3 linked regions of the Macaca fascicularis genome follow. The protein of the gene in region 3 interacts with the protein of the main gene of each other region in a pairwise test. Links are inferred from orthologs where the notes say so. Each region holds a gene or a part of one and is shown on either strand. Other genes may lie near its edges.

Region 1 (3,519 bases), on a different chromosome or scaffold from region 3:
GTGCTCTCAGGACAAGGGTTGCCCTGGACTGAGCCCCTCCATCCTGCTGCCGGGCACTGCCCCTCCCTCTCGCAGCCACTCGTGGGATCACCTCTGCTGCCCCAGGGAGCCCTCCCAGAGCCTTCGAGCTGCAGATGGCCATGAGGTGTGGGCGGTGGTGGCTCTGCAGCAGATCGGGGCGCATACCTTGAAGTACACTGGCTCCACCTTGTGCTTGAGGGCATGGGCTTTCCCCACAAGGGCCAGCACAGAGGACACCTTGTCGGGGTCGTGCAGGTTCTCCACGACAGTGTTGAGGGCCCCCATGACTCGGCAGGCGTGCTTCCGCAGCTGGGGGCTCCGCTCCATCTCCAGGGGTTCCTCCATGTGCTTGAACTGGCTGAAGTACTGCTTGGCCGAGGGGAAGTTCACAAAGAACCTGGCAAGAGGAACAGGGGTGGTCGCTGAAGCTGGAGGCTGCCTCGGGCCCACCCTGAAGCTGCCAGGACAGTGGGGGCTGAAAAAGTGGACCCCAGTCTCCCCCACCCCTGCACCATCACTGTTTTCACTACCATCCGTAGACCTCAGCATAGACCCTCCTCGCTCTGGCCAAGCTGGCTCACCCCTACCAAGTCTGGCCGTGTCTATCTGCCAGGCTTGCTCAGGCTGGTGGCTTCCTCTCCCAGGCCCCTGTCTTCCTCGCTTCTTGCTTCCTTCCCAAACTCTACACCCTCTTCAGGGCCTGCTCTAGTCATAGCTGAGAGGGTAAGAGCTCAGGTTCTGGAACCATGAGTTGATCTGAAATTAAATCCTCTCCAGTTGGTCTGAAACTGTTCTGATTCTCCCAAGATACTGCTTTCATGAAGTCATGCTCATGCTCGAAAACATTCAATGGCTCCCTATTGTCTGCCAAAGCGAAACTCCTTAACCGGGCATTCCAGACTTCTGAACTGTCCCCCACCCACTTCTTCAAACTCATGTCCACATTCCCCACTATACTCACATCATCCCTGTCCTGGCTCAGTGGCTTTACTTACCGTTGGGAAAATGTTCCTCAGGTGAGCCACATTCCTTTCTACTACCCTTTTCCTGTGTCAGACATGCCTTACCTGGAGCAGACTGGCCCAGGCGAAATGCTTTGCCCCCGAGGCCATTGGCACCACTCAGGTGACCTTCCCTACCCTCCTTCCAGCCTGTCAGACGGGATCCCAAGGCTCTCATGCACCCTCTGACCCCCTGCCCTAGCTGGGGCACTGCAGTGTGGAAAATGACGGCTTTTTTTTTTTTTTTTTTTTGAGATGGAGTCTCACTCTGTTGTCCAGGCTGGAGTGCAGTGGTGCAATCTTGGCTCACTGCAACCTCTGCCTCCTGGGTTCAAGTGATTCTCTTGCCTCAGCTTCCTGAGTAGATGGGACTACAGGCATCTGTCACCACTCCTGGCTAATTTTTTGTATTTTTAGTAGAGACCAGGCTGGAGTGCAGTGGTGCAATCTTGGCTCACTGCAACCTCTGCCTCCTGGGTTCAAGTGATTCTCTTGCCTCAGCTTCCTGAGTAGTTGGAACTAGAGGCATCCATCACCACGCCCGGCTAGCTAATTTTTTGTATTTTTAGTAGAGATGGGGTTTCACCATGTTGGAGGCTGGTCTCAAATTCCTGACCTCAGGTGATCCGCCTGCCTCAGCCTCCCAGAGTGCTGGGATTACAGGTGTGAGCCACCACGCCCGGCCGACAATGACTTTTGTACCTCCTCTCCCTGTCGAGGTTGGACATCATGTGAGACATGGGCATGGACTCAATCAGAACTTACATAACTTAAGTGAATCCCCAGAAAATGTATGGAGTGTCCTGGACCTGTTCTTCCAGGTTGTTCTGCCCCTTCATGTGTCCCCTTTGTGATCAGAGAGAGCTGATAATTTGCGGAAGCAGCCCTTTGGCCAGGAGTCGAGTCTCAGATGTGAGGGCTAGAACAGATGTGGAGAGGGCATCTGGCCGGGTCGTCCCTGCTGGTGGTGGAGCTGCTATTGGCGGGGGAAGTTTGCACAGTGACCAGGGCACAGTCTGCGTGGAGACTCAGGAGGGCCCCTCCCAGAGGCCAACTGTGATCTTGGGCAAACTGCTTCACAAGCTCCCTGTCTGCAGAAGGGCGAGAGGAGGGCTGCGCTTACTGCTTCATGGATACACGGGTGAGGACACGTGAGGCGATGGGTTTGAAAATACATTGAATTTTCTGGAGAAGCACTGTAATGAGGGACAAATGTGAAAAACCCAATTTGGACTTAAACGAGCATCTCAAACTTTGGAGGTTTTACAATTGCAATAAAAAATAACGATATGGCCGGGCATGGTGGCTCACGCCTGTAATTCTAGCACTTTACGACGCCAAGGCGGGTGGACTGCTCGAGCTCAGGCGTTTGAGACCAGCCTGGGCAATGTGGCAAACCCTGTCTCTACAAAATACAAAAAATTAGCCACGTATGGTGGTGCACACCTTTGATTCCAGCTACTCAGGAGTCTAAAGTGAGAGGATCACTTGAACCCAGGAGGGCAAGGCTGCAGGGAGCCAAGATCGTGCCATTGCACTCCAGCCTGGGTGACAGAGTGAGACCCTGAATCAAAAGAAATAATGATAATAATAATAATAAAAGGCCAGGTGTGGTGGCTTATGCCTGTAATCCCAGAACTCTGGGAGGCCAAGGCAGGAAAATCACTTGAGGCCAGGAGTTCGAGACCAGCCTGGGCAACATAGTGAGATCCTGTCTCCAGAAAAAAAGAAAGAAATTGGCTGGGTGTGGTGGTGACCGTCTGTACTCCTAGCTACTTGGGAGGCTGCAGCAGGAAGATCCGATCGCATCATGAGCCCAGGATTGGAGGCTGCAGTGAACCTTGATGGCACCACTGCACTCCAGCTTGGGTAACAGAGCAAGACCCTGACACAAAATATTAACAATGATATATATATATATATTTGCCTGATGTGTTACAATGTTTTTGTACTTTTTCTTTTCTTTTTTCTTTTTGAGACAGAATCTTACTCTGTTGTCCAGGCTGGAGTGCAGTGGCGCAATCTTGGCCCACTGCAACCTCTGCCTACCGGGTTCAAGGGATTCTCCTGCCTCAGACTCCCAAGTTAGCTGGGATTACAGGTACCCGCCACCACACCTGGCTAATTTTTGTCTTTTTAGTAGAGACAGGGTTTCACCATGCTGGCCAGGCTGGTGTTGAACTCCTGACCTCCGGTGATCTGCCTACCTCAGCCTCCCAAAGTGCTGGGATTACAGGTGTGAGCCACCATGCCCAGCCTGTTACTGTATTTAATTGCCACAGCTAAGCAGGTATTACTTCTATTTTACTGATGAGGAAAGAACAGGGAACATTTATTGAGCACTTACTGTATGATCTCACAAATCCTTGCAATTCTCTCCTGAGATAGGCACTGTTTTAATCCCCATTCTATGAATTAGGAATTGATGTCCAAGATTGCCCACCGAAGTAGATGGCAGTGCCAGGAAAGGGCCCAGGCAGGCCCTACTTTGACAGTT
Region 2 (3,111 bases), on a different chromosome or scaffold from region 3:
CCCAGAATAACAAAATCTTGTTAGATGTCTGTCTTAAAGAGAGCTATAATATGCAAACACACACACACACACACACACACACACACACACACAAATCCTGGGTTATAAAAGAGCTTTGTGGATCACAGCATACCTCCACTTGATCCAAGAATTTAATTGTCAACATTAGGCAAACAGACCCAATGAATGTAATCAGGAAGATAATTAACTAGTTGGCTGGAATATTGTATTTGATATGATGTGCTTATGTGCAAACTAATCTCCAACTGTTTGTCCAGTACTAATTCAACTGACTCATCTTCTAAATGTATAGGACTAAGTCTTTAAAACGTTAAGCTTTTCAGCAACAAAAAGTTAACATCATCTAAAATAAATTAAATTTTAAAATATATGTAATGAAATTATAGGTCACTGGAAATTCATTTCTACAATGAATATAAATTAACATTAAAATCTATTAAGTACTATTCCTGGGAAGATTTTGGTTCAGAGGTTATTTTTTAAGGGCATAATATTTGGGAATAAATGGGCACAGCTTAGAAACCCTTACAAAGTTCTAAGTAGACTAGAGATAAGATTATTTGGTGATAAGATACAAAGATCTCTATGTCCAAAATAATGGCTTACCTCATTTTAGTTAATAGAAGTATTCCCAAAAAGTTGTGCAAATAGGCTTTTTATAACTGGACCCTTATTTTAAGTATACTAGAGGCCATGGTTGTAAAGAAACCCTGTAATGACTCCGCTAATAAACTGAAGAACTCTAAGTGATTAGCCCCTGTCCTACCTACATCTGCACAGTGGACGGCATACTCCAGGCACTCAGTAAGTGTTTGTTGAATGCATGAATTTGTTCCGACAGTTTTTTCTCCCCCTACGGGACTTTCTTAAAAGTGAGGCACATGCTAACTGAAATGGTTCTGCCTGCTGTTACTGCAGAAAAATGGAATCCAGCTCACAGTTTAACTGATTCCATCACAAAATATCACATAATTTCAGAGTGTTTTCAATCAAAATAAAATTTCCATAAGTATGAGTATATTTTGAGGAATGTTGATCTATGATTGGCAGAAGCTTTTATTGTTAACTCACTCAGTGAAAACAACTGCTTGAGCTGAATTCTATTTCAATTAACCAAGGCAAGTAAAGCACTTTACCTAACTTCAGAAATACCACCAGAAACCATTCCACTTCTGTAAGAGTCTTCCCCTCACTCCAGCACAAATATTTAAATGCTGTCCTTACCTTAGTCTACAAAAGCAAAAACATGAATTACAAAGCTAAGATTAAATTAGAAAGTTGCCTGACTTAAATATGACAAAGTGTTTTTAGCCTTAAAATAAGAACTAAGTCAAATACATTCAATAAAGGTAACTCTTAAAGGCAAATTTTTTTCTTATTTGGTGTTTTCTTCCCTTCCCATTTAAATTTAAGACTCAATTTTTAAAAATATTCATATATCCATTTTTCTAAATAATATATCCTCTTTAAAACCATACAGAATGCCTAGCAATGCAACCTATGTGTCCACATAAATATGCAGTCTGTCACATAAATAAAATAAAAGGTTACATCAGTCTATTCATTCAGCATTTGTAACTGCAAAAACGGCTGGAAAAATAGCTGAGAATATTTTTATCCAAGTTTTGGGGAGGACTGAACACTGGTAAGGATTCACTGTAGGGCTCCATCATTATAAGTTTCCTAAAAAGTAGTGTGCAAACAAAATATCTGAACACAGAACCCTATTTTAAACATACTAGATGTATGTGTGGGTATGGGTGATGGAGAAGAGAGAATGAGTATGTTAATATGAATGCTTGTCAAGCACATTGATAAGAAAACCTCTCACTTAAGGTGCTAATGACATCTCAAGGGTCCTAAATACAACAGATTTTAAAATCATCTTTACCATTTGTTCCAATTATTGACTTTGGCCCTTTACCACACAGACACAATGAATCTACATTTTGATGATCCGTCATTGGCCCGAGTATCATGTCTGGAGATGGATTTGCTCCCATAATTTAAAAATCAATAATTTAAAAAATAACAAAGTTGGTCTCTTTTTTCCAACAGTTTTCAAGTAATTAATTCAAGTAAGCTTATTTACAGCTGCTACTGTATATATGTGACCTACTTTAACCCTTCTTTACCCTTTAGGAATCGGTCTCCCTTGGAATGGGACACCACATTTTAAAAAAAATCTTGAACCAGGTTTCTTTCATCTACTAATTCAATTCAGTCATGTTTCTGCTTTATTGGGCAGATAAAGAGAAGAAACCAGCAAGTTATGTCCAAAAGCTGGAAAACGCCGAAATGCTTCCCAACTATCTGAAAAGATGTTGTACTTGAGGAACACTCGGTGTTCCAAGCTGGTCGACAGGGTGACATCTCTGCTCATGATGTAGATGCCGTCGTTATGGAGCGCACAAGTCAAGTTAAGACCCGATTTGGACGTGTTCTCCTTGAGGTAGAGCCACTGGCGGGTGACGGTGTTGTAGGACTGCACGGTGAGCATGTCTTCGCTCTGGCTGCTCCTGCGGTTGGGCCCCAGCTCGTGGAGACACCCCCCGACGATGTAGATGGTCTCTTCTACAGACACCATCTGCTGCTTGCGAATGTGGACGTCACATGTTTCAAACAGCGTCCAGATGTCGGAAGAGGGGCAGTACTGCAAAATGTTCATGTTCCGGTCTGAAAGAAAGAAAGGCAAGTGATGACTCCGCCCCCACTAACGCCACTAGGCAAGGCTGTACAGAAATGTCTAACTCTACATGCATAATTTGGTAACAAAGAGAAAAAACTGTTTCAGAAAAAGCACAACTTGGGAAAACCATTTTCAAAATGGCTGGGAAGAGATATATTTAGATCCATCCACACTCACTTCTCACTCCCAAACGTCTCTGCCTTGGGAGACTCAGACTGGATAAAACCAGGAAAAAGAGCAGCTCTGACTTTCACACAGCCCCTCCTCCCTGGTATCTCCACACCCGTGAACCACCAGGTCAGTGTAAAAAAAAGTAAGTGCCTCAGACCCCTCATCAATAGCTACAAAATTACCGACTACTTAATACAGAAGCCAGGCTGGGCAGGAAGCAGATTATTCTT
Region 3 (3,971 bases):
GAGTGAGACATAGTCTTCCATCGGAGACAAACGCATGAGAAAATAATTCTTTAGGCTGATGTGAACTTCCTTCTCTCCATAATGGTATAATGGTATAATGTTGTCCTTGTAACAACACTTTAAAGAAGTGGGGGACTAGGCAGAGGATACTGACTATCTTGGTTCACAAGTAGGTACACCTGAGAGGACCAAGCCAGGGAAACAGGAGTTCTGTACGTGCAATACACTTTTTTGTGAGATGCAGTCTCGCTCTGTCACCCAGGCTGGATGCCAGTGGCGCAATCTCGGCTCACTGCAATCTCCACCTCCCAGGTTCATGCCATTCTCCTGCCTCAGCCTCCAGAGTAGCTGGGACTACAGGCGCCTGCCACCAAGCCCGGCTAATTTTTTGTATTTTTAGGAGAGACAGGGTTTCACCGTGTTAGCCAGGATGGTCTCGATCTCCTGACCTCATGATCCGCCTGCCTCGGCCTCCCAAAGTGCTGGGATTACACGCGGAAACTACTGCGCCTGGCCATAAAACACTTTATTAAACATAGAGGAAAATAACTGGCATGCAAGGATTTCTACCCAATCATCATTTGCCTTGAAGGACTTTTCACCCTTACCATGACAGCCTCCTGTGTGTGTGTGTGTGTGTGTACACATGTGTGTGTAAGTTGGGGTGGGGGAGAGTAGGGGGAAGGTGGCTGTGCCCAAGTGTCAGAGAGAGGCATATTGGACTCTAGGGTGGCATCCTGAATGCATTTTCCTACAGAACTGATGTCAAGTGGGTCACCTCAAAGGTTCATCTCATTCATTCACTCCCTTCAAGGCAATGGCCGATCTACCCTATATCCCATTTTAGAGATGCTCTGTGTTATCCACACACTCCATTTCTTTTACACTCCCCACCTCCAAGGGGTATGTATGCACATTCTGTCCATTTTACTCAAGAAACATGTTTCTTCTCTACTGCTTTGGCTTCAGTCCTCCTGACATTTCCACACTCTAGCAACAGCTCCCTCTTTGAACCACCGGAAAAGCCTGCTACCTGGCCCTCCTGCCACGTTATGTCCTCCATGTGTTGCAAGAAGCCTCTTCCTTAAGTCAATTTAAAAAAAAAATCACAAATACCTGCTTCAAATCTTTTCCCTTTCCTTTCATTCCCTACTTCTTTTTTCTTTCTTTTTTGGAGGGGGAATTATTGTTAATTGATAATATTTAATATTTAAACTCCTTAGATTCATATATGACTTCATACATTGGCTCCAACTAATTTTTTTCCAGTTTCATATCCTGGTACTCAAAGTCATGTACATTATTTTATTGCATAAAATGTCTCATCTTTCTCTAGAAATAACAGTCCTTGCCATAAATTCCTGCTTTTGTAACATGAAACGGCTTTCCTTTGGAGTGAGACCACTTTTCACCTGAAACATGCTCATCCTTCAACATCCAGCTTGTCTCCTCCTTAGGAAAACATCCTCTGTTCTGTTGGTGATACTGAAGGCAGTAAGTACCCTGAAAATGTCTTTGTAAAAGTTTTGCCTTTAGTATTGTGATTACCCATTCACCTGTCTATCCCTTTCCAGAAATGTGAGCTCCTCAAGGGCAGGCTCCAAGTCTGACTTTCCTACTGTGCACATACGATGGTACTTGCCACGCCAAGAAACAAATCCTTACTGTTTGGGGAAAAAACAAAAGTACAAAGAATACAACTCTAATATGAACAAAACGAATGATAATATGCTGTTTAGAAAGTATTGAAAAACCAGGCACATTGGCTCACACTTTGGGAGGCCGAAGTGTGGTGGATTGCTTGAGCCCAGGAGTCGGAGGCCAGCCCGGGCAACATAGTGAGACCCCGTCTCTATTAAAAAACAAACGAACAAAAAAACACAGCCCTGGCAACATAGTGAGACCCCATCTCTATTAAAAAAAAAATACAACAATTAGCCGGGCATGGTAGATTGTGCCTGTAGTTCCAGCTTTTCAGGAGGCTGAGAAAGGAGGACTGCTTGAGCCCACGAGGTCGAGGCTACAGTGAGCTGTGATCATGCCACAGCACGCCAGCCTGGGTGACAGGATAAGATCCTGTCTCAAAAAAAAAAAAAAAAAAAAATGTGTTGAGGTCATTTCTTTCATATCATGTGTTAAATAGGCTTCCAAGGGCTGGCCTTGAAACCTGACAGCTTTGAGCCATTGTGTTTCCATGGGAGTAGGCATTCTAGGTTCCAAACCGCGCACTTACAAATGGACTTTGGAACACAACGTGCTACCTCAAGGCTCCACCTGGCCACACGGCAGGCACTGAGGCTGGGAGGCAGCCCCCAGACAGATGAGTGTCCGCTCCTCTCTGAGAGGTGAATGAGCCCGAGGGGTCCCGACCTACGGAGTCGTGAGGAGCAGCGGCGCCAACGACGCAGGCCCGCCCCAGCCCGCCAGCGAGCCGCCCATGCCCTCTGCCCGCCTGGCCCGCCTGGGCCCTCGCCATGCTGATCACCGTGTACTGCGTGCGGAGGGACCTCTCCGAGGCCACCTTCTCCCTCCAGGTCAGCCCCGACTTTGAGCTCCGAAACTTCAAGGTCCTCTGCGAGGCGGAGTCCAGAGTCCCCGCCGAAGAGATCCAGATCATCCACATGGAGCGACTCCTCATCGAGGACCACTGTTCCCTGGGCTCCTACGGCCTCAAAGATGGCGATGTCGTGGTTTTACTGCAGAAGGACAATGTGGGACCCCGGGCTCCAGGGCGTGCCCCGAACCAGCCTCGTATAGACTTCAGCGGCATTGCGGTGCCCGGGACGTCCAGCTCCCGCCCGCAGCACCCAGGGCAGCAGCAGCAGCGCACACCCGCCGCCCAGCGGTCTCATGGCCTGGCCTCCGGAGAGACGGTGGGCGTCCCGCAAGGTCTGGGCAGCCCCGGCCTGATCCGCAGCATGCTGCTCTCCAACCCGCACGATCTGTCGCTGCTCAAGGAACGCAACCCCCCCTTGGCGGAAGCCCTGCTCAGCGGAAGCCTTGAGACCTTTTCTCAGGTGCTGATGGCGCAGCAAAGGGAAAAGGCCTTGAGAGAGCAAGAGAGGCTTCATCTCTACACGGCCGACCCCCTGGACCGGGAAGCTCAGGCCAAAATAGAAGAGGAAATCCGGCAGCAGAACATTGAAGAAAACATGAATATAGCGATAGAAGAGGCCCCCGAGAGTTTCGGACAAGTGACGATGCTCTATATTAACTGCAAAGTGAATGGGCATCCTTTGAAGGCTTTTGTTGATTCTGGCGCCCAGATGACCATTATGAGCCAGGCTTGTGCCGAGCGATGTAACATCATGAGGCTGGTGGACCGACGGTGGGCTGGGGTTGCTAAAGGAGTGGGCACACAGAGAATTATTGGCCGTGTTCATCTAGCTCAGATTCAAATTGAAGGTGATTTCTTACAGTGCTCTTTCTCCATACTTGAGGATCAACCCATGGATATGCTTCTAGGCCTAGATATGCTCCGGAGACATCAATGTTCCATCGATTTGAAGAAAAATGTGCTAGTCATCGGCACCACTGGCACGCAGACTTACTTTCTTCCTGAGGGAGAGTTGCCCTTATGCTCTAGGATGGTAAATGGGAAAGATGAGTCTTCGGACAAGGAAATTACACATTCGGTCATGGATTCAGGACGAAAAGAGCATTAAAGCACGTTATAAATATGTCACCACCTTGAGGGAGGCTCAGGTCCCCGGAAATTATACAGTAAGAGCTCACTGGCAATGTAATCATTAAAAATCATCAGTAACAACTAAACCTGGCCTTGGGACTACGTTCTCAGATGGGTAACTACATCAATCCTGATTCCTTGGTCTTGGTCCCTCTTCCATTTCCCTTGTCCAGAGATCACTGAAAGACATCCTGGGAAGGCTCTGGAGGCTCCAGCTGATTTCCAGATAATCCATGAAAAAGAAAACCAGCTTCTTCCTTTAGAGACACTATCCTATCAGATT

Evidence for each region.
Region 1: the proteins of DDI1 (region 3) and CYGB interact in binary tests that used the Homo sapiens proteins (3 or more experiments, as listed by UniProt). The two-hybrid records come from large-scale screens. The link is inferred for Macaca fascicularis from reciprocal best matches to the Homo sapiens genes DDI1 and CYGB.
Region 2: the proteins of DDI1 (region 3) and KLHL42 interact in binary tests that used the Homo sapiens proteins (3 or more experiments, as listed by UniProt). The two-hybrid records come from large-scale screens. The link is inferred for Macaca fascicularis from reciprocal best matches to the Homo sapiens genes DDI1 and KLHL42.

Annotation. Positions count from the first base shown.
Region 1 is NC_088390.1:82,981,670-82,985,188, forward strand, and holds part of CYGB (cytoglobin), read right to left. Parts: intron 419-3,519; coding exon 187-418; intron 1-186. UniProt on the Homo sapiens protein: Probable multifunctional globin with a hexacoordinated heme iron required for the catalysis of various reactions depending on redox condition of the cell as well as oxygen availability.
Region 2 is NC_088385.1:30,541,803-30,544,913, reverse strand, and holds part of KLHL42 (kelch-like protein 42), read right to left. Parts: intron 2,698-3,111; coding exon 2,246-2,697; 3' UTR 1-2,245. UniProt on the Homo sapiens protein: Substrate-specific adapter of a BCR (BTB-CUL3-RBX1) E3 ubiquitin-protein ligase complex required for mitotic progression and cytokinesis. The BCR(KLHL42) E3 ubiquitin ligase complex mediates the ubiquitination and subsequent degradation of KATNA1.
Region 3 is NC_088388.1:103,052,083-103,056,053, forward strand, and holds the start of DDI1 (protein DDI1 homolog 1), read left to right. Parts: upstream 1-1,159; 5' UTR 1,160-2,474; coding exon 2,475-3,665; 3' UTR 3,666-3,971. UniProt on the Homo sapiens protein: Probable aspartic protease. Seems to act as a proteasomal shuttle which links the proteasome and replication fork proteins like RTF2. Required, with DDI2, for cellular survival following replication stress.